Drosophila melanogaster: one gene and its partners. The protein of the gene in region 3 interacts with the protein of the main gene of each other region in a pairwise test. Each region holds a gene or a part of one and is shown on either strand. Other genes may lie near its edges.

The links. Proteins that work in one complex are often made in the same cells at the same time.
Region 1: the proteins of Drep2 (region 3) and Drep1 interact in a two-hybrid assay, tested with the Drosophila melanogaster proteins (2 studies listed by BioGRID).
Region 2: the proteins of Drep2 (region 3) and Drep3 interact in a two-hybrid assay, tested with the Drosophila melanogaster proteins (2 studies listed by BioGRID).

Annotation. Positions count from the first base shown.
Region 1 is NT_033778.4:12,042,613-12,051,222, forward strand, and holds Drep1 (DNA fragmentation factor-related protein 1), read left to right. Parts: upstream 1-1,999; 5' UTR 2,000-2,251; coding exon 2,252-2,296; intron 2,297-5,363; coding exon 5,364-5,579; intron 5,580-5,862; coding exon 5,863-6,134; intron 6,135-6,192; coding exon 6,193-6,553; coding exon of another isoform or gene 6,554-6,580; 3' UTR 6,581-7,560; downstream 7,561-8,610. Other genes in the region: CG30039 (uncharacterized protein), read right to left, coding at 8,520-8,610.
Region 2 is NT_033778.4:12,053,135-12,058,699, reverse strand, and holds the start of Drep3 (DNA fragmentation factor-related protein 3), read right to left. Parts: upstream 3,612-5,565; 5' UTR 3,482-3,611; intron 2,732-3,481; exon of another isoform or gene 2,727-2,731; 5' UTR 2,680-2,726; coding exon 2,314-2,679; exon of another isoform or gene 2,153-2,313; intron 1-2,152. Other genes in the region: CG44314 (uncharacterized protein), read right to left, coding at 5,431-5,565.
Region 3 is NT_033778.4:9,292,448-9,301,149, reverse strand, and holds the start of Drep2 (DNA fragmentation factor-related protein 2), read right to left. Parts: upstream 6,356-8,702; 5' UTR 5,581-6,355; coding exon 5,368-5,580; intron 3,885-5,367; coding exon 3,614-3,884; intron 2,884-3,613; coding exon 1,718-2,883; 3' UTR 1-1,717.

The DNA.
Region 1 (8,610 bases), 2.7 Mb from region 3:
AATTGTTATATAATAATAATGGTTAATGATGGAAACTAGCTTAGGTTTTCCAATATTTTTGTAAAAACGAATGGTGTGTGAACTCTGGCAAGGGCAAAAATCCTACGCATTCATTAAGTTTCCATGACCGCGAGCTGCAAATGTCAAAATGAAGAGGTTCAAACGAAGTCAGCGAAAGAAAGTCCTCTTGAATTTTAACGAGGTCCTTTTGCATATCAGCTTTCTGTTCGTTAACAGGCAGACGCAAGCTGTTACTGAAAAGGACTGAGCCGTGTTAAATCGCTTATGTTATCCTTTTTTTTTATTGCGCAAAGGATAATTAGTTGTGTCTGCCCTTTTGGCCGAATTTAAAACGTCTGTGTCTGGACAAAAGATTAAGTTGTTAAGATGAAATGTTTTTTGTTATTCTGTTTCTTTGTTTGCTCTTTGTCCTTATAATCCTCTATCTTATGTGTATTTTGTTTTTTGGCTCAGTTAAACTAAACATTCTCGAGCGGCTTGATGCTTCTTAGTAAAACCAATATCGCCAGGCGTTGATTTATTGTTTTCCCTCGATATTGCCTATTGCCTGATTGCCCGTGAGGCAATTACCTGTCACCTGGCTTCGAGGTGGAGCTCAACCCAGATTCCGGCCGATGTGTCAACGTGTCCGTGGTCAATGCACCGCGGTGCATGCACGTGACCTGCGAACTGCAGGCGACACAGCCACCCACACAAGCCAATGTCCTTGTGCGTCCTTTCGAGTGACCTGCGCTTAAAATAGTCACAGCTACCACCCACTGCTGCTTCTCCTCCGCAGGACACGTAGAAGTTACTATGTGCAGTGCAATGACAGCAAACGGGGCAAACTGCCAGCAGCAGAAGCAGCATCAGCATCCGAGGAACCAATGGTGCGCACTAGGATGACAATTTAAGGCTGCCCCATCTCTGATCTCCCCCATACTTGCATGCCCACCTCTTTTCCGGGCTATTCAGTACCGTTTTATACGTGGAAAAACTTTTGAGAATTATATAAAGTTAGTTGATATTCGTATGACTAAAAGAAAACTACTCATTCCTATTTATACCTACATACCTTTATCCTTTATGGAATCCATTTGCTCAATTAGGCGCTGATAAGTATGCAATAAGTTATAGTTTTTATTAGTTTTTAGTATCATAACAGAATCTTTATTTTTCGCCGTGCACAAACTGATGAGAACCCAATCTGGGGCCACCTTCCGGCTTTGGCTTTCCTTTCATGTATTTTGGCCATTTGTCAAAAGTTTGCTTTTTGCTCTTCTTATCTGGACGGTTCGTTGATGTGTGCATGGCAATAGATGTATATAGATTTAAATGGGTGTTGGCCACTTGTGTAGAAAGTTAAGCGTAGTCCAACTGCTCTTTTGGCCGGGTTCCAAGCGGGCGAGGGGATTTCGAATTGACAACACCGGATATCATTGGGCTGATAATGCGCAACCCCTCCCAATGGACTAATTGAATCCGAAAGCACCTTCCGATGGAAATAGAGATTAGATTGCTGGAATCACCTTAACTTTTCAGCCAGGATTGTTCCAGCAAACTCTTTGTGTTTTCTAGGGACTAGGCCACAGCCAAATGTTAACATATTCAGCGAGAGAGAACGTGTTTTTGACTATGTTTGTTTTCTCTTTGTAAGCTTTATGTTTCAATATATTTAAAATTCTAATCTGTTTAGTGTTTTCTTTTAGAAGCACATTATTACCTATTTTACAAAAAATTGATACAATATTAATTAATTAAATAACCAAAATCTACAGGGAATAATTTATAAAAAAAAAAATATAAAAAAAAAAAGTGTTAGGCTTCAAAAATATGTTTACTTATCATGATTAAAAAGAAACATGGCCAATAGGACATAAAACAAATATTATTTGAACCTATCAGTTAACATTCATTTAAAAGCGAGCACTCGCAGTTCGAACTCAACATCTGTTAGAAGCCCTTTCTCTGCGTATAAAAGGCAGTGCTTTTGAGCAAAACGCGCTCATTTCAAAACCGGTGCTCATCGCAACGAAAGCTCCGCTGCGGAGCCGAGAAAATATTGTTAATTCCCATTTGAAGTGCAGCTTGTGGAAGGAAATTCCAAGTTTGTTTGTTCGGACGCCGAGTGCAAGTGCAAGAAGCAAGCGAAAAGTAATCAAATCTATAGAAAAGTCATTTAATGTGGAGCAATTAAGCCTGGAAATAAAGTGCATAGTGAATAAGTAATTTAGTTGGAGCAAACAAAGCCATGGAGACTGCAGCGAACTCGGGCGACTCCAAAAAGCCTTTCAAAGTGAGTTCCCCCTGTAATTGTAAATGGAAATAAAGGCCGCAGACGAACAATTGCATTTTAAGTGCATGCATTATTTTCCTGGCATGTCCATTTTTGGGCGTTGTTGTTTTCGCCTTTGTTGTTGTTGGCCGCGTGCTGCGTTCGCTACTTTTTTTCCTTTTTTTTTGGATTCTTATGGAAACTGGGTTGAACTTCAGAACTCAAGAGAGCCAAAAGCTCAAGCTAAGAGAGTGCCGAAAGCTCAGTAATAAGCATTAACTGCCTGAAATTTGACTTTGCAAATTCAAAAACACTATTTAGTTGCTTTCTTTCTCTTTGTCCTTTTTTTTACATGTTTGTCTAGCTTTGCATTTGCCTTTTGATTCGAGTATTGGGAATTGTTTGCCTTTAGCATTTGTTTTACTTGACTGCTGGGCCATTGTTTCCTGTTTAATTTGTTTATCTGCCGCTTAAACAGCAGAAAGCTGTTTAAAGTATTATGGGGATGTAAAAAACGTGCTTAAGGTTGCAGAAAACCACTGGAAGTACATGCAGCTGACAACTCAAAGGAAACCAATAAACCACAAAGCTATTTAAATTGTCTGTGAAACACAGAAAACAACTTTCGTAAAACATGACTGGAGATAACATCCAGGAATTCCCTCCCCCACTTTATCCATTAAAATGCCGCTCCTTATTAAAATATTTAATTCAAAAACCACCAAACGCAAATCGGCTTAAAAGCTGTCAAATACCATGACAGCCATGAAAATGCCATTAAAAAGGGAAAACTTTTCATCCCGACATGTCGCTGTAATTAGCCAACAGCCACGCCCACGACCCGCCTCAGGCATTTTGTTAATAATTTATTAAACAATCTACATAATGCCGCGGCATAGTTCAAAAGCAATTTAAAGTTGTCGCCTAATTTCCCCAGCGACTCGAAAATCTGCGGCCTACGCCCATCAAATATTAAAATGTCCTGCGACTTGTGGATTCTGCCCGCATCTTGGATGCAGATGATAGAGTTCCTGGCACGTCTCCTTCGGCTGCTCCTAAAACGGAGCCAGACGCCGGAGGTCGTTGCACGTTCATCTACGTACGTATGTGTGGACCAGGACCCTCGGGTCCTGATGGCTGAGCAGCTCGAGTTAGTTGAGATTTATAAGCCCTCAACTCGCTGCTGCTCTACCAATTTGCCCAAGTCGTTTTGCATACACTTTTGTGTATAAACTGGTCTTCTAGAAAAACACTTAACTGATTTCATCTAGACTTTCACATACATTAGCCTGAACTTGTAGTGATGCTAGTTTGGAAATTTGTATCTTAAACAGTAGCAAGTAGGTAACATTTGTGTTTGCTCATTTCAATATTTAAATATTATTCTTATATTTAAATATTAAAAAATAAAGTTTTACTTACCACGATGTGCCAAAAATTTGCTCTTAATGATATAACCTAATAGCATTTCCATTCAAGAAACAACTTGAAACACTTTTGAAACATGTTTACTTTCCGAATAAATCTTGTTTCTGATTTGTATAAGCTTTGTATAATTTTGCGGGTAATTAGATAAACTGCTAATTGAATTGCGACCGCTTGAAAAATCGACGCCACTTGAAAAATCAACTAATGCGATCGACTAAAACTTTTGACAAGTTTCCGAACAAAAACTATGCTTTTGTTTTCGATGCTGCCGCGACTCCCACTTGTCAAATGCGCCAGTAGTTGGGCAAAGTTTTCATTGTTACAAAGTTCTAGCCCCACACGCCGCATTCATGATATGATTAATATTTGGAGCTTTCGCGGCACAAAAGTTATGTGGCTTTAAGTATTTATAAGATAATTTAGGGACGACCTCCTCCGCTATCTGAGCAAATGGAATTGGGATGATAGAGCAGCTAGGCGCACGAGTAAAATGAAATGTTCGAAATGCAAACTCGAGTACAATTTCATTTAGTCACGGTGCTCTCAAATATTCATGAAGGACCTCAAGGAGTTGCACGCTGTCCGACGTTTCGGGGCTATAAATTCTGGGTGGAATGCATTCGTGCCGCTTGCTCCCTTAAAGTTGCGCCTCCTTGAGCCTCCATCTGGACGGGTCTAATTTATGTTTCGTTTAACCTTAGTGCTGAGGCATCATTTAACATCGCATGCAAGTTTAATAGAGCCAAAGGCTTGCGTCCTTCGTCCTTGCAACCGGCGAACAGCACTAACCTATGGCATTCGCGAAGGAGCATGCAGCATGAAGAATGCTGACATGCATAACTTGTCAAATAAAAAGAAAATTTAAAAGGATACGCCAGGGAATCGGGGAGTGGGAGATAAACGACAAATATTTGCACCGCAGCTGCTAGAGTGCATGTCAAACTGCGTTCGAGATCTCGAGCAAAAGTAGAGGAGCTCATGGAACTCGGCATTCGCAACTGAAATATGCACAAAGTCGTCGGGCTGTGGGAGGCACTTTAAGGTGGTGACATCCCCCACCGGGAAAAAGCCGTCCATAAATCTCAATTAGAGCAAATGGACATTTGACAGCAGGACATGACGTGGTCGCAAATATTGCGTTCATTTATTCATTGCGATTTTTCGGGGAATGGAAAACAATCAGCGTCGAAATGTGGTTGTGTATTTATTATTTAGCAACTTGCGCTACTATTTATCTTTTCTCTTTGTTTAATGGAATTTTCAAAGATTGCCTAATTAAATAACTATAAAAACAGGGTAAAGTTTGCGTTGAAAAGAGAAACAGACTGAATAATTAAGTGCAAGCGGGAGGATAATGAATAAATCAGGCGGAAAGTTTCCATAGTTTCTCCATTCCGTTCACGTTGTTGTCTCAAGAAAAAGGGTGCAGCTAAAGGAAAATTTACAACTTTTCCCATTTCGATGTTTTTCCGTTTTCTTATTTTGGGTGCCGACGATGTGAATATTTTATAGGACCTCAGTTGTTTCCCATCTGACATTAATTTATTATTCATTTGATGAGCGGGGCCATGTGTAACTGCTACTGTCTCCGTAATTGCAAACGTGTAATGGTTTATTATTCCCTTTTCCCGGCACTGTCCTTCTGCGTTTTTATGGCCAGGTCAAGGACGTAACACGCAACATTAAGAAGGCTGTCTGCGCCTCCAGTCTGGAGGAGATCCGCAGCAAGGTGGCGGAGAAGTTCGAGAAGTGCGACCACCTGCCCACCATCCACCTGGACTCCGACGGCACGGAGATCGATGATGAGGAGTACTTTCGCACCCTCGACGAGAATACGGAACTGGTGGCCGTCTTTCCCGGAGAACATTGGATCGATGTGAGTAGCCCTTAAATAAAAGGAAAAGGAAAACAGGCACTTAAAAATAATTATATCAGCACCTTTTTTATTTAAATCACCTCAATAAATTCGTTTTGCGATTGTGTAATTTTCATTTCTCAAAGTGAACACCGCTTAATTGGATAGCTCATTTTATGTGTCCCTCCTTTTATCTGCCATAATGACTAATTGCATTATTTCTTGAATGCCATGAAAGAGCTCCATGAGCATGGGACCAAAGCCAGGAAGATTAAATTAAATGCTATCTGCACTCTGTTTATAGCCCACTCACTACGTGACGATAACCACTCCACATGGCAACGAGGCAGGAACTGGAAACGGAGAGCTGAACGGAGGAGGCGAGGGCGACACCACCGATGCCAACAACTCGGAGTCGGCTCGCATCCGCCAGTTGGTGGGCCAGCTGCAGAACAACCTCTGCAACGTGTCCGTGATGAACGATGCCGATCTGGACTCACTCTCCAACATGGATCCCAACTCGTTGGTGGACATCACGGGAAAGGAGTTTATGGAGCAGCTCAAGGATGCGGGAAGGTGAGTTTAATTCCTTTCCCATATACCACTTAATTGTAGCATGATTTCATGACTTTAGGCCATTGTGTGCCAAGCGGAATGCCGAGGATCGTTTAAATCTGCTGAAGCTATTGAAAGCTGGTGCCATTTTCTGCTCGGAACGTTATCCCGAGGATGCGGAGGCCATTGACCGGGAGATTGGACGGCAGTTGAACGAGGCGGAGAGTGGACAGATGAGCACCACAACGACGAGCAACACCCGCACCATCGAGGTGGTGCAGTGCGACAATCAAAACACGACGATAACAATTACGGTGGGCGAGGCCACCACCACTTGCGCCACAGCCAGTGGAGCGATGGGATCCTCCGCTGCCGAAGCGGCTGCCAATGAGGCCAATGCCAATCCAAATAGAAATCCAAATGCCAACGGCGACATCTGACTGCCCATTTTGGGCAGTCTTAGGTAAAGTCTGCCGGCGGAAAACTAACGCAACTGGGTGCGCCAATCAAAATCAAGAGCCAAAAGGATATACCGAAGACATCAGTCCTGCAACATTGGGTTAACATAAATCGTATTTGTAGCATGTAATTAGGCACTGCGAAATCAGCAAAAACGAAACGGAGACGAAATCAAGTCATTGAAAATGCTTCATAGTATCTAAGAGCAAATGAAAGTTAACGAACAATACACGTACTAGATTTAAACACCGGGTCACGAGGCTCAAGAGAACAAGAGGCCCGCGCAGATTTGAAAAGTCTTTTAGCAATCACAGTCAGCGGAATCGTATTTAACCGCATATACACGAGTCACACCAAGCCGTACTAGATGAATAATAATCAAAGGTTAGCGAAATAAGTATTATACTTGAGGTAGAATCCCACAACCAGAGCGAACCCCAATTGGATGGAGTTGTCCCAGGAAACTGTTGATTTGCTTACCGTGTAAATTGTGTTACGAATAGTAGGTAGAGTGGAAACGCACATCAAATATTGTTTTTAGACCAATGCCATTGTGAATGTCATTCGTTAAAGGCCAATTGAGACTGACTGAATTTATGTGTAATAGGTTTTTTCGTGGTTTGAGCGGTTCGGGAAAGATCGGATGGAAGCCTCCAGCGCTGCTGCCCTGTCCTCCCAGAATCCCCGTCTTCCCGCCCCCGAATCCATAGCCAAATGAATTTAAGCGACAGCGCAAACATTGTTAGCTAATTAAACAATAATGGAACACAATAACGCAAATTGCAATTGCCCAATCAAAGTTGGTAACTGTAACTGTCTACAATTCGAATAAGCAATAAGGGAAACCGTAAACGTAAACGAAATCTAAAACCGAATGCAAACAGTGAACAATTATTAAATATAGTGAAAAGCATACAGTAAATGCAAGTGAAAACCCCGAGGCAAACTATATACACGAAACCAAGTAATAAATAAATGATTATTAAACTAAAGTTGATTGAACTAGCATAACTGGCAAACGGGGCGTATGCGCAACGCACAAAGCGTGTGCAACAGGGCGTATGGACTGCATCCTGCTCTTCCGCTGGCAAAAGAGAGTTTCCCCTTCCTTCACCGCTTCTTCCATTTCCCTTTTTTCCAGTTCGAGAGAGCAAGAGAGTGGGAGTCCTACACCTGCTGCTGCCATATAATTGCATTACTCGACGCCATTCTCTTTTGCCATTCAACTTCCTTCGTGACGTCACTGCACCATGACGTTTGCAGGTCCTGGCTAGCTGATTGCGATGGCCTACTAACACAGTTCAAAGCTCCCGGGTGACCCAAATTCGTGACGACAGCGCCCCACAGCAAGGGTCTCTTTGTGGGCGTGGCCCTGGCTTTGATGAATTGAATCCAGCGTCCTGTGGCCTTTGCATACTCAATATCCCCTACTAACACAGCACATCCCTTTTTCGGTTCCCATTCCTTGGCTGCTCTTTTAATTTGCGCCCTCGACGATTTTCATCCTGCTGGCAGGGGAAAAAAGAAAAATCATGGGGCGAAAAGTGCCCAAAAATATTAAAAATGTAACTGAAAATCGCTTTGACTGCTTTTGATGTGTATGATGGCATTTACGGTGGGCTGCCTGGCCAAGAAATTGTCACACACACTTGAGTTTGTAATTCTTTTGATGTTGTCCTGCAGATTAAGAGGAAGTGCCGGAAGAGGAAATGGAAACTTAATCGAAAGCAATCTGAGCTTCGAGCGAACCGATTTTGGTCCTTTGAATAAAAAAAGACTCTTATTGAAAATTATTCAGTAGTCAGGCATTTTATTTAACAAGTCTAGTACGAATAATTTAGATAAAAAGTTATACAATTAGTTAGAAAATTACGTTCAAGTAAAAATCTTAAGACTTCATTTCAAGTAAATTTTGTACGTTTGTTTCCTAAACGTAGACAACAATTTTTAACACGGTAATTTCGAACGCTTCATAGGTTGCTTGCGGTAAGCACCACCAAGTACTTTTCTGGACGAGATCCGTTTCACCTTGAACAAT
Region 2 (5,565 bases), 2.8 Mb from region 3:
TGCGCAACGTTGCGTATACGCGATGTCTCAGTCACAGTACGACATATTCTGTTTGCTCTTCGTTTCTATTTGTTTATTTGTTTGCCTATCTCCTTGCTGATGTTGTTCCATGCGGCATGTCTGCTAATTTAATATCCGACCCAACTTTCATGTAAACCTCTCCATAACGAATGGATCAGGCTTTATTTTTAAACCATTTGCATTTGCAGACACCCACCGAAAGGTGATGCCCGTAGGTGGACTGTGGACCCCAAATGACTGTGACATGAAAAACACATTTGCGCGTTACGCCAGTGGGGAAAATGAAAGCTGGATTTTTCCTCGCCCAATGAGATTTGTTTTACAGGAATCTAATTTTCTGCCAGGACCAGAAGTGTTCTGGGCAACCACAGAATTTCCTTAAGCAAAATATTAACTAAAACTGCATGCGAAGTAAAATAATTTGGTACGCAGCCAACTGAAGTCTCTAGTAGGCACTGTTGCCGACTTAGCTCTTTTCCAATCAAATTTTCCTTTATTTCATATATTTTGATTTAGTTTCTGAACTGAATTCCAGCTGTTTTTTAAGGTATTCATATTTTCAAGTCAAAAATGTCTTTCTGTGTGGCAGCACTGCTATGAGTTTTCAGTTCAGCGGTAGATCTAAACCAATTTAACCTTGTGAGTAAACCAAACTGCAAATCAGTCATGGTAACCATCGAATTAATTGAACTATCTGATATTAAGTAGAAGAGATGCAAATTATTTTCATACCGAGAAGAACCTAAGGGCCAATACGTGAACACAGGATATTATTAACCCTACCTCACGCATTCATGTGTTGGCCTCTGACTACCAACCCTTTCCTTAATTTTCACTCTCATTTAGTTGTTTCTGGAATTAGTCAAAGGGATTATATCTCCAGGATTATATCATCCAGTGTTTTTAATCAGAACCTTGGCAATTTCCCCGAGAGCTCGATAAAGAAGATGCCCGTGTCAGATGGCAGACAAGATGGAGGCTTATTAATTAGCTGGAATGCGCATGAATTACGCATACGTCACGTGGCCCACGCTCACCCATCATCATCATCATCACCGGTCGGTTGCCACTGACAAATGACATCGCGTTTCGGCCACGTCAAGCCGTCAATTAATTGCTTTCGCCTGGCAAATTTACAGCCACTTGATATCTCGTAGACGCCGATCTTTTGGCCAGTTTATATTGTTATGGCCATCGCTCTGATGCCGTTAACACACAATACATCGATTAGGGTGTTCAGCTGGCGTGGCCAAGACACCTACTTATAGTTATCGCCGCCCACACAGACGCCACAAGGCGGCTTAGATGTGGGCGTGGCACTGGAGGCGATTGGCGGAATGGCTGGATGATTGGCCAGCTGGCTGGCCCACAATGATATACGAGACAATTGGGCGCCCGCATCCTGATCCCACTACCCTATGCAACTGAACAGTTTGAACATTTTAATTAAATTTTCATTGTTGACCAGCCACACAGGCAAAAAATTTGCAAGAAGCTAATCTGAGTAGAGGGTGAAATATGGTCTATACTATATTGTATTGATAGTGTTAGTGATTTACTGAGCATGGCTTACTATAAGTGGGTAATTGGATATAGGATCATCAAAATAAGGACATTCAAGTTCAATTAAGTTAAATCATATCAATACTAAACAGAATCGTTTTATTCTTGCAAGTGTCGATGTGTTGTATCTTTCACACACAGTTTTTAGAGTTAAAAGTTTCGTAAATAGGTAAACGGATGCGTAAATTGTTTCGTAAACTTTGCAGAATTGACAGCGACTATTTGTGACCCTAATCATTTCTTTCTGTGCTCCAAATTGGGCAGGGCCACGCAATCCTCACAATCAAATGGAGTTTGCCATGGTGAAGGCAGTGCGGAGTGGGCTGCTGGTAGGGCAAAAGGAAACAGCTCTGTTTTCCCGGATTTTTTCCCGCACCAACTCTTGCAGCGAATTGAAAAGTTGGACGAATGCTTAAAGGGCGAATAAAGCACCGGTAGCAACACTTCAGCAGCAGTGCCAATGTCGATGATGCCACTCAACGCCGAAGGCTTTGAAGTGGCCGTTCCGTCGGGGAACCCTTCACTTTGTTCGTCCTGACCGTCAAACTTTTTCCTCCATTTTCAGTTTAATTTTTTCTATTTTTTTTTTACTATATACCCATCAAGCGTAACAATAGCACCGCAGTAATCACTTAACGAAATGCTGGCCCAGATGACGGGGCGCCAGGTAGCGTGGCTAAATGCCACAAAGGACATGAAGGATGTGCGAGTAGCGAGTGGAATACCCACCTTGAAGGGCTTGCTGTTGTCCAGCTGGGCGAAATCCTCGTCGGCGGTGGTGGGCGAGGGCGTGGGCGTGGCGCTGCTGTGCGGCGATAGGGCCAACTCCAAGGTGATGCTATCCGCCGCATCGTCCAAACCATCGTCGGCATCTAACTCGATGTCCTCGCAGTCCGCGTCCAGTTCGGCCGTCCTTGTCAGAGTCCGCTGCCTGGGCGGCGGAGCCACTATTCTGCTATCAGGATCACACTGTACTCCTGCTGCAGCTGCTGCTCCATCGCTCTCCTTCTTCTGCTCCCTCTCCGGTTCCTGCTCCTCCTCAGCTCCTTGAGGCATTCCAGCCAGCTTTGTCTCATCCGCATTCATTGCTGTCATGTATTTACCTCGTCTCGAGAGTTTGTTCGCCTTGTCTGGACTCCTTGCTGCACTGGTTGAAAAACATGGTCGAAAGAGAAAGAGATTTATGACGAGCAAAACAAATTTAGACGATAATTGAAATATGCTGTATGGCATTCGGGGATGCTTTCAAAGCTGAGCCAAGCATACTAAAACTGCCAGACTTTGTGTTATTGTTATTTCATATACGCGTGTACGTTGTTTGCTTCGACCGGAAAATTTATAACGAAATCGTTGTTTGGCCTTTGTTTTGGCTTTGATTTAAAAAAGTTTTGCAATTGCTGAAATTGCTTGACCTTAAAGCCACATAGAAAACGAAGTTTATAGAGACCAAAAAAAAAAGAAGGAGACCATGGAATGTTATTGCATTACAATTTCACCATCGGCTCTTTAAATACTGTACATTTTTACCAACGACTTAAAAAAAATATCTACAAAATATTATTATTTTTTTAATTTTATATAGTAATGTAATTTGCACTATTTCAATTTTGGTGTCCTGTATTTGATAGTAAAGCTCCATATATGACGATGCAGAAACGTGTTTAGAGTTTTTCAAACGAATATAATTGGCCAACTTTTTTGTTTGGTAAAACTTCATTTAAATTTATAGAGGCAATTATAAGTCTAAAAGAATATAGTTTGCATGTGCTTGCTTGTTGTTTTTTATCATGAAAGCTAAACTAATTATTTTCCATAATTTCCACAAGCCTCTTTTAGACAAAAAGATAGTTGGTTTATATACTCTGAACTCTAGAAGCAACATTTTGTTTCTCATTACCGTGCACTTTAAGTTAAAAACCGAATTCTTCACATCTTCCGGCAACAATTACAATACGCGATTCTGGCTGAGATCGCGAGCCGACTACTCACAGCAGCCAAGTGCAACAAAAGCCGGCCGAACTTGGAATAAATTGCCAGACGTCTGTGCGTGCTGTATTTAAACGTGGCAGGACTCGTCGAGTTTGCCGACAGCCTCGGCCAGCGCAAACACACACGGCGCAAAGTCAGCAGGTCCTGCAAACACACAGCAAAGTCTAACCTTCGCGGAGCTTTGGCCGTGAGAGCAGGACACTCGCAAAGAGAGGCAAAGAGAGAGAGAGAGAGAGAGAGCGAGCGCTCTGTTAAGGCTCCTGTTAGCCAGGACACGCTGGGCGTGCCGGGCCAGAAGCATAGACCCTATGCCGGATAAAGTAAAGTTGGCACAAAAGAACTCTGGCCTGGGATCGGGATTCTATGACCTGGAAGGTGGGAAAAGTTTACTGGAGCAGCTGCAAATAGTTCTACTTAGCCGGGACCACAAGAAGATAAAAACGAATACAAACAGCACAGTGTATTTGCGGGGCGTGATGGCAAATATAAATATTTTAGCCTGAACTTTCAGGCGCTTAAGGGCAAAGTTTAAAAATGCAATAAAAATAAAGTTTGCAATTTCGGCGAAAAACTCTGGCGTCCAGCTGAAAAATGTCACTTCGGCATAATGAGACTGCTGCTGGCTGCATAATTAAAGCATCCCAGAGCTGGGCAAAAGTTTTCAACAAAGGTGCATTGCCTTTGAGGGCGAGACAAAAGCCGAGATTTATTGGCATTTGCATTGGCGGAATATTTAAAATGCATGAGACGCTGTACGTCGATCGAATTTGTTCGCATTGGGAGCAAACAAAGCCACTTAGCTGCATTTATCACAGCACTGGGCTTAAATGGCTGAAATATTGCGCATACGCCGCGTGAGCCAAGGTTAATTTGATTGCGCCCGCTTACGGAAGTTCGGCATTGAACATGGACTGAGCACGTGATTCCAACTGCAGTCACGTGATGGATAACAATATATCTGTGGGCCTGTTATCTCGTTTACGCATTTTGAGCCTGGTCCTTGTCCCAACTACCTGAAGTGCATACTTTAGGCCCAAGCGGATTCGGATTGCTGGGCGAATTTTGCACGCTCATCTGTTTATTCGCCCTGCTGGGCATTCATTTCCGTCCGCCATTTTCCATTTCCCATTTTCCCCCGCCGGCGGGTCAAATAATTTATGGGCCATGGTCCGCTAATTGCGCATTGAAGCGCGGCGCGAACAACTATTCGCATTTCGCATATGCAGCATGCTGGTCCTGCTGCAGGACCTCCATCGCCATCAATTTAAATGCATAGGTGCAAATTGAAATTTATGCGTCTGGTCGCGAAGGTAAATTCCCTTCATCATCAGCTGCCATGTTTAATTGCGATGCACGACCTTGGCCGTCTGGCCAGTTAGATTAATTAACTCACATGTCGTCGGAAAGGTCATGCCGCCGCATGTGGCGATGATAAATGGCCTCTGATCCTGGTCCTTGGATATGTGGCACTTTTCGCCAAAAACTCGTCAGGCGAAAAACACATAAGGCAGTGGTACGGGTAAATGCCAAATATTTGCGCCTGCTGTCAGCAGTCTAAATGAAATTAAATGGAAAAAAATAGCATTTCGATGCGGGGCAAACCAAAAATGTATAAAAGAAAATGGCAAACATTTTAATTAAATTAAAATAAATGTGAAATGGAAAATAATGAGAGAAAAAAAGCACTGGCATCGACCTTGCCGCCATGTAACAAGCAATTACATTTCCCCCCCTTAATGGCATACTTCATTATTTTGTGTATTTCCTGTGTAAGGATACCTACGTGCAACGGTCCTGGCCATAATTGGTTTAATGGCCAGCAAGCCTGTGCGTATTTGCACTATATCGGTTAATGGCTTAATAGCGCGGCTCTACATCAAACATGCAGTACAGTGTACAGTCGAACTGCTGCTCGACCTGCTGACATTCACCCAGTTGATCCGGCACTAGGTTGCCCTTCTCGGCGAGGCAATCGCTGATGCACTGGCTGCC
Region 3 (8,702 bases):
CAACGTAGACCAGCTACGTTTGCAATGGACTACCTATGACGACCCTTTCTGAATAGCAATCCCAAGTGGGAGATGCCTTAACAATAAGAACTCAAGTCTGCAGTAAAAACAAGTCTAAGTGACATTAACAAAACAAGTCGAACAATGATGTTATAATAATTTTCAAATATCAACTATAAAGTATAAACTAGGAGCATAATATATTCAAACAATTCAGAGAATGTTTAGGTTCATTGGTTAGTTTACCCACACTAAAACGTACGTGCTTCCTTTCGATAGTATTATATTCATTACGTTGGCACATCCATCGCCTAAACCTTCCATGTCCTTGCCAAGAATCCTCCAACCCAGTGCTCTCTCAATTTATCCCGATTGCTTGATACCCGTATGGAACAGTCAAAGTTCTGGAAGTCGAAAGCCTAACCCAACGAATGTGGATGCAGGTGCGAATGCTAATGGCGATGTTGGCAGTGTTTTCGCTTTTACGCATTTTTCAATTACGATTTCGATTGCGATCGTGTGATGTCTTCTGATACATACTCCCAATGGATCTACGGCTGATTCTGTCGGCCATGCGGGGGCGGTCTTTATCTACTACACATAATTTTTTAGTCTGTCGTCAGGCATTTGGCGAGCATCGAGCATCATCGAGCGTCTTGCTTATTGTTTCTATTCTCTGTGTTTAATTTTAACATTGTGCGCGATTTGTTGAACGTTTGACAACACTACAAATAACGGCAGTTTTACATGCTGATGCGGATGATTTCCGGAATTTCTTTGGGGGCAGAAATGCAACAAGATTAACAAAGAATAGGCCACTAACAGAGAGTTACGCTGTCCAGGAACTATACAAATGCGGGTTGGGGGTTCGTTAAGCAAATTAAAATGAGGAACTCACTACATAGGAAAAGAGAGACCGACCAACTACAATTAGACCCCGCGTCATCATCGTTTTTCTGGCAACAACATTTTATAGTCTCTGTTATCTATATCTCTTTCACAACTTATAGTCTTTGGGGTTAGATTAGATTTCCTGACTCGAGTGGCAGTCTGTTTGTGGGGCTATCCAACTAAATAAGGCTATTTTGGCACACAATCACAACGGAACACGGAACATCTATTGTACAACAACGATAACAACACAAGGATGGCTGATTTGGGGGCTTGCAACTGATCTGTGGGCTAAATTTTGGGGCGTTTGAATTGAATTTTGCGAATTCAGAATTCGTTAAGCTGGCTGCAGACGGTGCAGTGATATTCTTCGACGTCTCCAACCAGCCATGCTTCTGATTTATGGTAACGTCGGTCCCCGTCAATGAGAATATTGGATAAATGCTACAAAAACTGCTCTTAAGTGGTTCGCGCTTGTTGCTGTTGTTGTGGGCATGGGTGTATGTGTTTCTGGGTGTGTGGCTGCTTTGCTTTCGCCTTTTTATAATTCACGTTTACGCTTACTTCACTATTGTACAATGTGCGACTTGCATTATTATATTCTCGTAATTATTTTATATAAGTATATATGTATATATGTATGCATGTTGGTGTGTGTTTGTGTGTGTGTTCTTGTGTCGAGCTGCTGGGCTACTCTTATTTTGGGTTTTTCCATTTTTTCGTTTTGGTTTCTGTAAAATGCGCTAGTTTATTGATACCTTCTGTGGCGCCCAACGTGGGACAGTCATGAACCTGTGGGTTTGCCCGTCTGCCTGTCATTGGCACTCTAAATTCTGTCCTCCTCATCCTCTTCCTCCTCCTCCTCGACCTCCTCGCCGTTCTCCTCTAGCTCCTCCTTGTAGCCAGGATGCTCAGAGATGGCATAGTAATTGCCATTGTAAATGACGCCCAGTTCGCGCAGCGCATCGCCGCGTATTGTCGCCTTTATCGTCCAGTTGTAGCAGTCGTCTGACTCGGACTCGCGATCCAATCGCTCCACGTCAAGGATCTTGGAGTTGAGGCGTTCCAGTATGATGCCGATGTCCTTGATGCTGAGGTGACGCTTCTGGTCCACCGACAACTGGTCGATCAGCAGCAGAAACTTCTCCGTCGTCGTCTTGTCGTCCTCCATCACCGTGTTCTCCGTTTCGCTCTCGGAGCTATCCCGCTCGGGAGCGATGTCCAGGAATCGCACATGGCCCTTGGCGCCCGAGGAGCGGCGTTGCATGCTGCCGCTTCCGCCGCCACCGCTGCCGCCCAGCATAGGATCCATAACCGATGGTGCCGACTGCGGCTGGGGACTGCTGCTTCCGTCCTGGATGGGCGACGTGGCCACGCTCTTGTGCACAGCGATCTTGCGCCCCTCCTCGTGCAGCGCACAGCAGTGGAAGTCGCACTCGGTGGTGCTGGGACTGCCCGCCCTGCTGGGCGTGTGGGCGTGGTGGGCGCATTCCGGCGTGTGCACATGGACAGCTCCCACACCCACGCCTACGGTGCTGTCGAAGGAGCTTCCCTGCTTGGAGAGTCGCCTGCTGCCGCCGGGTATCACAACTCCTGGCGGCAGAACAACGCCACCGGGATGGTATATGCTCGCCGGTCCGTCGTCGCTGATCACCGTTATTTGAGGGCTGGCATAGCGCGGCTGGGAGGACTGCGACGACACCGACTTGTTGTCCAGCGAACTCTGCGCGGAGAGGCCCTTCTTTGAGGGCGAGTACTTATCGGACGACAGCAGCCCATTGCTGCTGCCCAGGCCGGAGCACATGCTCCCCACTCCGCCGCCGGCGCCACCGCCTCCTCCTCCGCCGCCGCTTCCTCCACCCTGCCGCTGATCCCAGTGCAGAACGACCGTGACACGCCCTTTGTTATCCATGATCTTCCACGACGGTGTCTCATCGTGCAACTCCAGCGCATGAATCGTCTCACAGACGATTTTCGGTATAGCTGATATGGCTGTAAGAAAAATAATAGAATGAGATCCGAACCACTGAGAAATCCCAACTGAAGTTCAGTACGGAATGATGAGAAGGTCAACTATCGCCTCAAAAAATAGCTAATACGATATTCACTTAAATAGACTTGTATAAGAATCGGACGACCATGTTCTTGAAATTGTAATGACTGTCATTTAAATCTCTAAATAGCATTTTTCTTTTGTTTAATTTTTACGTCTTACGTTTTTGTTTACAATTCAATGCTAGCAGCGGAAATCTTAATAGCTTGCCAACGCATTAAAAACATGCTGAAATTTATTGCATTCAAGATCCAATGTGTCTCAAAACAGAGGATATAGTCCAAAGAATTGTTTAAATTTCTGTTCTTTAGAAATTGAATAAGTTCAGCCAACTATAAAAAGAATTTAAATTCATTCGCAAACAATTGACCTTGAAATCAATTCAAACAAGCCACATTGAAAGTTGTGCTAAGTACTAAAGTAAATGCTTGCTCTATGAATTAGTTATTCAATTTGAATGAAATTGAAAGAGTCTTTGATCAAATATCGAAATAGACTTTTTGCAAATATTTAGCTATAAGGGTAAGGCTCATAATTTACGCAGTGATAACTTATTTGAATTTAATATTGAATCTAAATGAATGTTTCCTCTGACCAGGTCTAAATCTATAATTAAATTTCCCGTGGCCAGTACTGATCCCGAGATGGGAGTGAACTTATTACACCCACCAGCCTTTATGACATCGACGCCAGTGGGATACCAGCGCTCGCCCTGCCTTAACAGCAGCAGCACCGTATTGTTGGCCAGGGTGCGAAAGTATTCGCCATCCTCGATTTGGGTTCCATCACACTCCAGAACAACGCGCACCGGTTCTGAAGCAGGAACCCCCAGCTTATCCTTGCCGCGGACCAAGAGCTCCTCGAAGGTCCCAACTACGACGCCCTTGCGCACATTCCGCCAGCTGTCCCAGATTTTCAGTGGTCTCTTGCCGCGAGACTCCTGCGAAGAGAAATTCGGATTAGTTGCGTTTTACGAATTACAATTCCAACTGCTGGCGAAGGAAGGGAAAGTGAAAGCTGAGATGTGGGAGGATGGGGATGTGGGATGTGGGATGCAGGGTGCAGGGTGCAGGATGGGCGTGACACCTGTGAAACGCTGCGCACGAAAAACTGACAAGTGGGTGTGGCAGCAGGCCCGGACTGTGTCATAATTTCCTCAGCCCGCTAATTGGGCTTCTCTGGCTTGGCCAAAAAGGGCGCAAATGTCAAGGCCACAACTGCTGCACTGCTCATATTAATTGTAGATATCTTATGGAATAAAAGTTGAAATAAATCCACGGCCCTCACATTCGAAATAAAGCAAATGCAAGTGCTAATGCTTGAAAATGGAAACATATATGTACATATAAAAAGGGCCAAAGAAAATTGAAAACGAATCCTTTTGGCTAACAGCGCGCACAGCTGTTGGCTAACAGTTGCAGGCAACAACAACAACGACCAGCCAGCCAGCCAGCCAGCCGAGCAGGACGAAAGCTGCAATGTTTAATGTATTGCAAGGACATGAGTGTGGCGCTCCAGTGACCCAGTAACGAGTGCAGCACACGAGCCATATACAAATATCTCTCTTCGGCCAACCAAGCCCCCAAATCCCCCGATCCACCGATCCCCCAGTTCATTCCCCGCCCGTTCACCCAAAATAAAATGTTTGAAAAATTACAAAAAATTCATGTTGACATTTTGCTTATTCCTCCGCACCGAAAACAAGCAGAAACTTTTCATAAAAATATTTCATTTCCCTCGCTCTGGCCAGTGTTTTGTGTGCTCTACTCGCCGCCTCATCCCTCTCCATCCAAACCATCGCACCGATTTTCCTCTTGGGATAGGTCAGTTGCTGCACCCCAGCACCATATGGCACCGAGGGAGTGCAGCGGGTCGGGGATGTGCTGGCTATTATAAATTATGAAACTGATAATACTATAAACAGCGAGCACTGCCAGTTCTAAGGCTCGATAAATCATATTATGCCGTAAAACAATTGTTGGAGAACTGGTTGAATATCGTAGCACTTTAAGATTGTGTGACTTAGCTTTAAAAAAAGGGGAAACTTTAGAAAACAAGTGGGTAATAGTACCTAAAGAAAATGTATAACATACGCTAAAGGTGATGCTTTATCTTCCCTAAGTAAAATAGTAAGATATTTCATTTCATGCAAGAAAAGAGGCAAACCAACCACCAACAGGTTGAATAATTTCAAATGAATTTCCAAAAACCATTAAACTAGTTATTGAGCAGTATTGCCCAACAAGCTATTCGATTAACCAGTGTGAAATGCATTTGAGGAGGTATTTAGAATTGGAGGTGGAATTGGAAACCAAACTGGATAAAGGACGGAATAGATTGAGTTTGATCTAGAAATGAAGGACATTTGCAGTCGATGAAAGCTAAACACTGAATAAGTATGGGTCGCAAAGCGAAACTATTACCATTGCGGACAGTCCGCCGTTTGTGACCGACGACGAGGGCCCCGTTGTGATGGCCCCACCACCCACTCCGGCCCCACCCGCCGCCGCGGCAGAGGCAGCTACGCCCTGCGTGGCCTGGGCCGCCGCCGCAGCTGCGGCTGCCACTTGTCTGATGCTCAGACAGTTGCAGAGCGGCTTCGTCACGCCCAGCGTGCACAGGGCGTTGGACCACATGGTGGTGCTGGTGGTGCTGTTGGTGGTGCTGCTGCTGCCAGCCACTTTTAGGCCGAGTCTCTGCGCTGGCTCTGCTGGCTTGCTTGCAATGGTTGGCCTCGTCGCTTCCAAGGTCGTCTTACACTTGGAGCTCCAAGCTCTGGTAATCCATGTCCGTTTTAAAAATCCGTTATATAAACCCGTAACCGATGTACGCCTTACAAAATCCGGAGTTGCGGATGCTTTTACCAAAAGTTCTACAAAAATTAAAGCTTATTGCTTATTGTTGGAGTCATAAATGCCTTGCGTTCAGGGGGAAAATTCGTAATTACAAAAATTGTTAAGGGGGTCACGAAAAAAAAAACGCACTTTGCACAAAATACAGCTTCTGGTATAAATGTTATCGTCCACGTTATTTGGTTACTTTAGTTTGTTGTAAATACTGGCAGAGTTGAAGTGCCTAGAATTTCGCTTTTCACTGCTCGTACTTCGCATTCGCATTCGCATTCGTATTTTTGGGGCAGGTCAGGGCGGGTTGACCTTCGCACTTTCACTTTACGGATACTACGCGCCTGCAGCGCCCTTTTGCCCGTGAAACCGCCGAGTTTTCATTTTCATTTGATGCTGAGTCCCAGTTATTAGACTTAATTATAGCTCGTTTTTAGAAACTTGATTTTGTAGAAAAACGCTTGATTTGTTTAGTTATAGCACCCAGTGGGAACGTGGTGTTTCCACGGGCCAAAGCAGCGTCCTTAGCTGCCTGTGTGCCTGGCAGCCTGGCAGAGCAAACTGTGAGTTTTCCCGACGAGATGCTGCATCGGATTTCACTACGGTAGCAGCTGCTGCTTCTGCTGCTGCTTCTTCTTTGACTTTTGGGGCTGGGTGCGTTTTTGCAGCGCGTTAACAGCGCTTGAAATGAGCACGAGGCATAAGCGCGAGAGAAGTGCAGTGAGAACGAGGTGAAATGCAGCACAAAGCTTTGCGAGAGCGAGTAGGACAGGTGGAGGAGTGGGGGTAGAAATCCCGTTACTACTATCTAGTCAATTTAATGCCTTCAGTTTTTAGGTCCCCAATTAAACCGTATTTGTTTTATCCACCCCACTATTTCCCATTTACTACCTTTTTTTCCATAATTTTCGATGTTTTAACAGGTAAAGATATTTCGTCGTGCTTTGGCCTACATTTGCATCAATGTGATATAATCAGGACGCCAAAGCGCGCGCACCTTCTCCCTCGAAACGCTTTACCAGCATTTCATAAGATCCCATCAGTTTGATTTTGTAAACATTTACTTCCAATCAACGGCGTTCAATTAATAGTGTTGCTATTGGATTGTGTGCCCCAGGAAAATATTTAGCTTTCTTTTAGACCTGATCTTGCTCGACATTTAAACTCTAGCATTAAACATTGAAGTCTTTTAATAAAAAGGGTGAGACAGAGAGAGAGTGATGCACTTTTATATGAAGCTCTCTACCTCTCGCAAAAGCATTGCCAGCTGTAAATGTGAATGGATAACAGAGCACTAAAACTCCTGTAATTGCTGCTGGCCGAGATTTTTAATTGCAGTAAGAAGAAGGAGAGATAAAGTTGTTTTGTTTATCCTAAATAATGCCAGATCAACTGCCAACTGAAAGCCATCTCGGCTGCATTTTTATCAGCTCTTAAAGGAATTCCAGCGCTTTGGGAATTCGCAACTAATTTATTTTTGGAGACATCCTCTCAAAGCAACAATTTTGGAAAGGCCAGAGAGCGAAATTCCTTTCAAAGGGGGCGCGAGAAGAGGAAGAAGAACAACAGTTGCAGCCACACGTGGGATGGAGGCGGCGGGAAAGGAGGGCGTTGGGGGAGTGGCACATCTGTGAGGCGTAAGTATTACCTCAGTTATTTGGGTCAAAGCTATTCACTCACCCGCAAAGCAAAACGAAACGAAGGAACTGCATAAAACATGCACAAACACACACACATATGCAGAGCAGGAGCTTGAGGGACACGCACACAAAGAGACTAATGCGGGCCACAGGCTTAATAGGTTTCTCTAGCGGATGCGGACGCGAGTGCGGAGCATCCGCAGCGATACGCCTTGCTAGATACACTCGCCAAAGGTTGTCATATGAAAAATTCACATAGATGGAGCAGAGTGCCTGTAGTTTAGGCCAGGCATGAATCGTATCCATTGCACCCATACTCAAGCAGCAAAATAAAAATTTGCCTAATCTTCTCTAGAAGTTGATTTATTCATGCATCCTGTTGTGTTGCTCTATAAAGAACCTATCTTTCGTTCAGCTGACCACGTAAAGAACAAAATATCTACAAAGACCAAGTCAAAGAAATATTAAAATATATTATAAATTTTACTTTGTTCAAATTGCATGTTATTAAAAAAAATCTATTACCTAGTATTATTTTTGATTATTTTGTTTCTACTGCTTAATTAAAAAATTCATTCCTACAGAGAATAATTATTTGTTACACGCAGCATTTTTATTATTAAGTTGTAGTGTTGGGTTAAACTTCTTTGGAAAAATATGACATAGGGTTAACTGTTTTAATGTTGGGAGAGGCTAACACCGTTGGTTGCAGATGTGAATGATGGGGGATGGTGATGAAGTGAGAACAGCTGATTTTGGCAAAGTAACTTGCGGTACCGTGGTGATCGGGAAAACTAAAACGGTTAAGCCGTAGTTGCCGGCTTTGCTTTGCTTTTAGCACGTTTGCACTTACCTCTCTGGCCATTACGACATGTTATCACCAGCGGCACCCGCTTAGAGGGTCTGCCATTTGCTCAGCGGCAATAACAACAAAAACAACACGGGAGCGCCTCTTAGAGCGAGGGAGTGGGAGAGGCAACAACAAAGCACACGCTTTTCGCGATACGAGAACTCTCGTGCGTCTACTTAAGTATGTGTGTGTGTAGGCGGCAAGCGGTATAGACGGAGAGACAGAGAGAAAGAGTGTGGGAGGAGTGTGTGCGTGTGAGTGTCTCAAAAATTCTCTACTACACGTTTATTTTCAATCTTCTCTTCCCGCACATTTCTCCAACGCGCCGATGCTGTTTCGTTCTTCCTCTTGCTTTTCTATCCTGTCCTTTGGCTTCCTTTCCTTCTTCCTCTCCACACCAATCACTGCGTGGGTATGTGTGTATA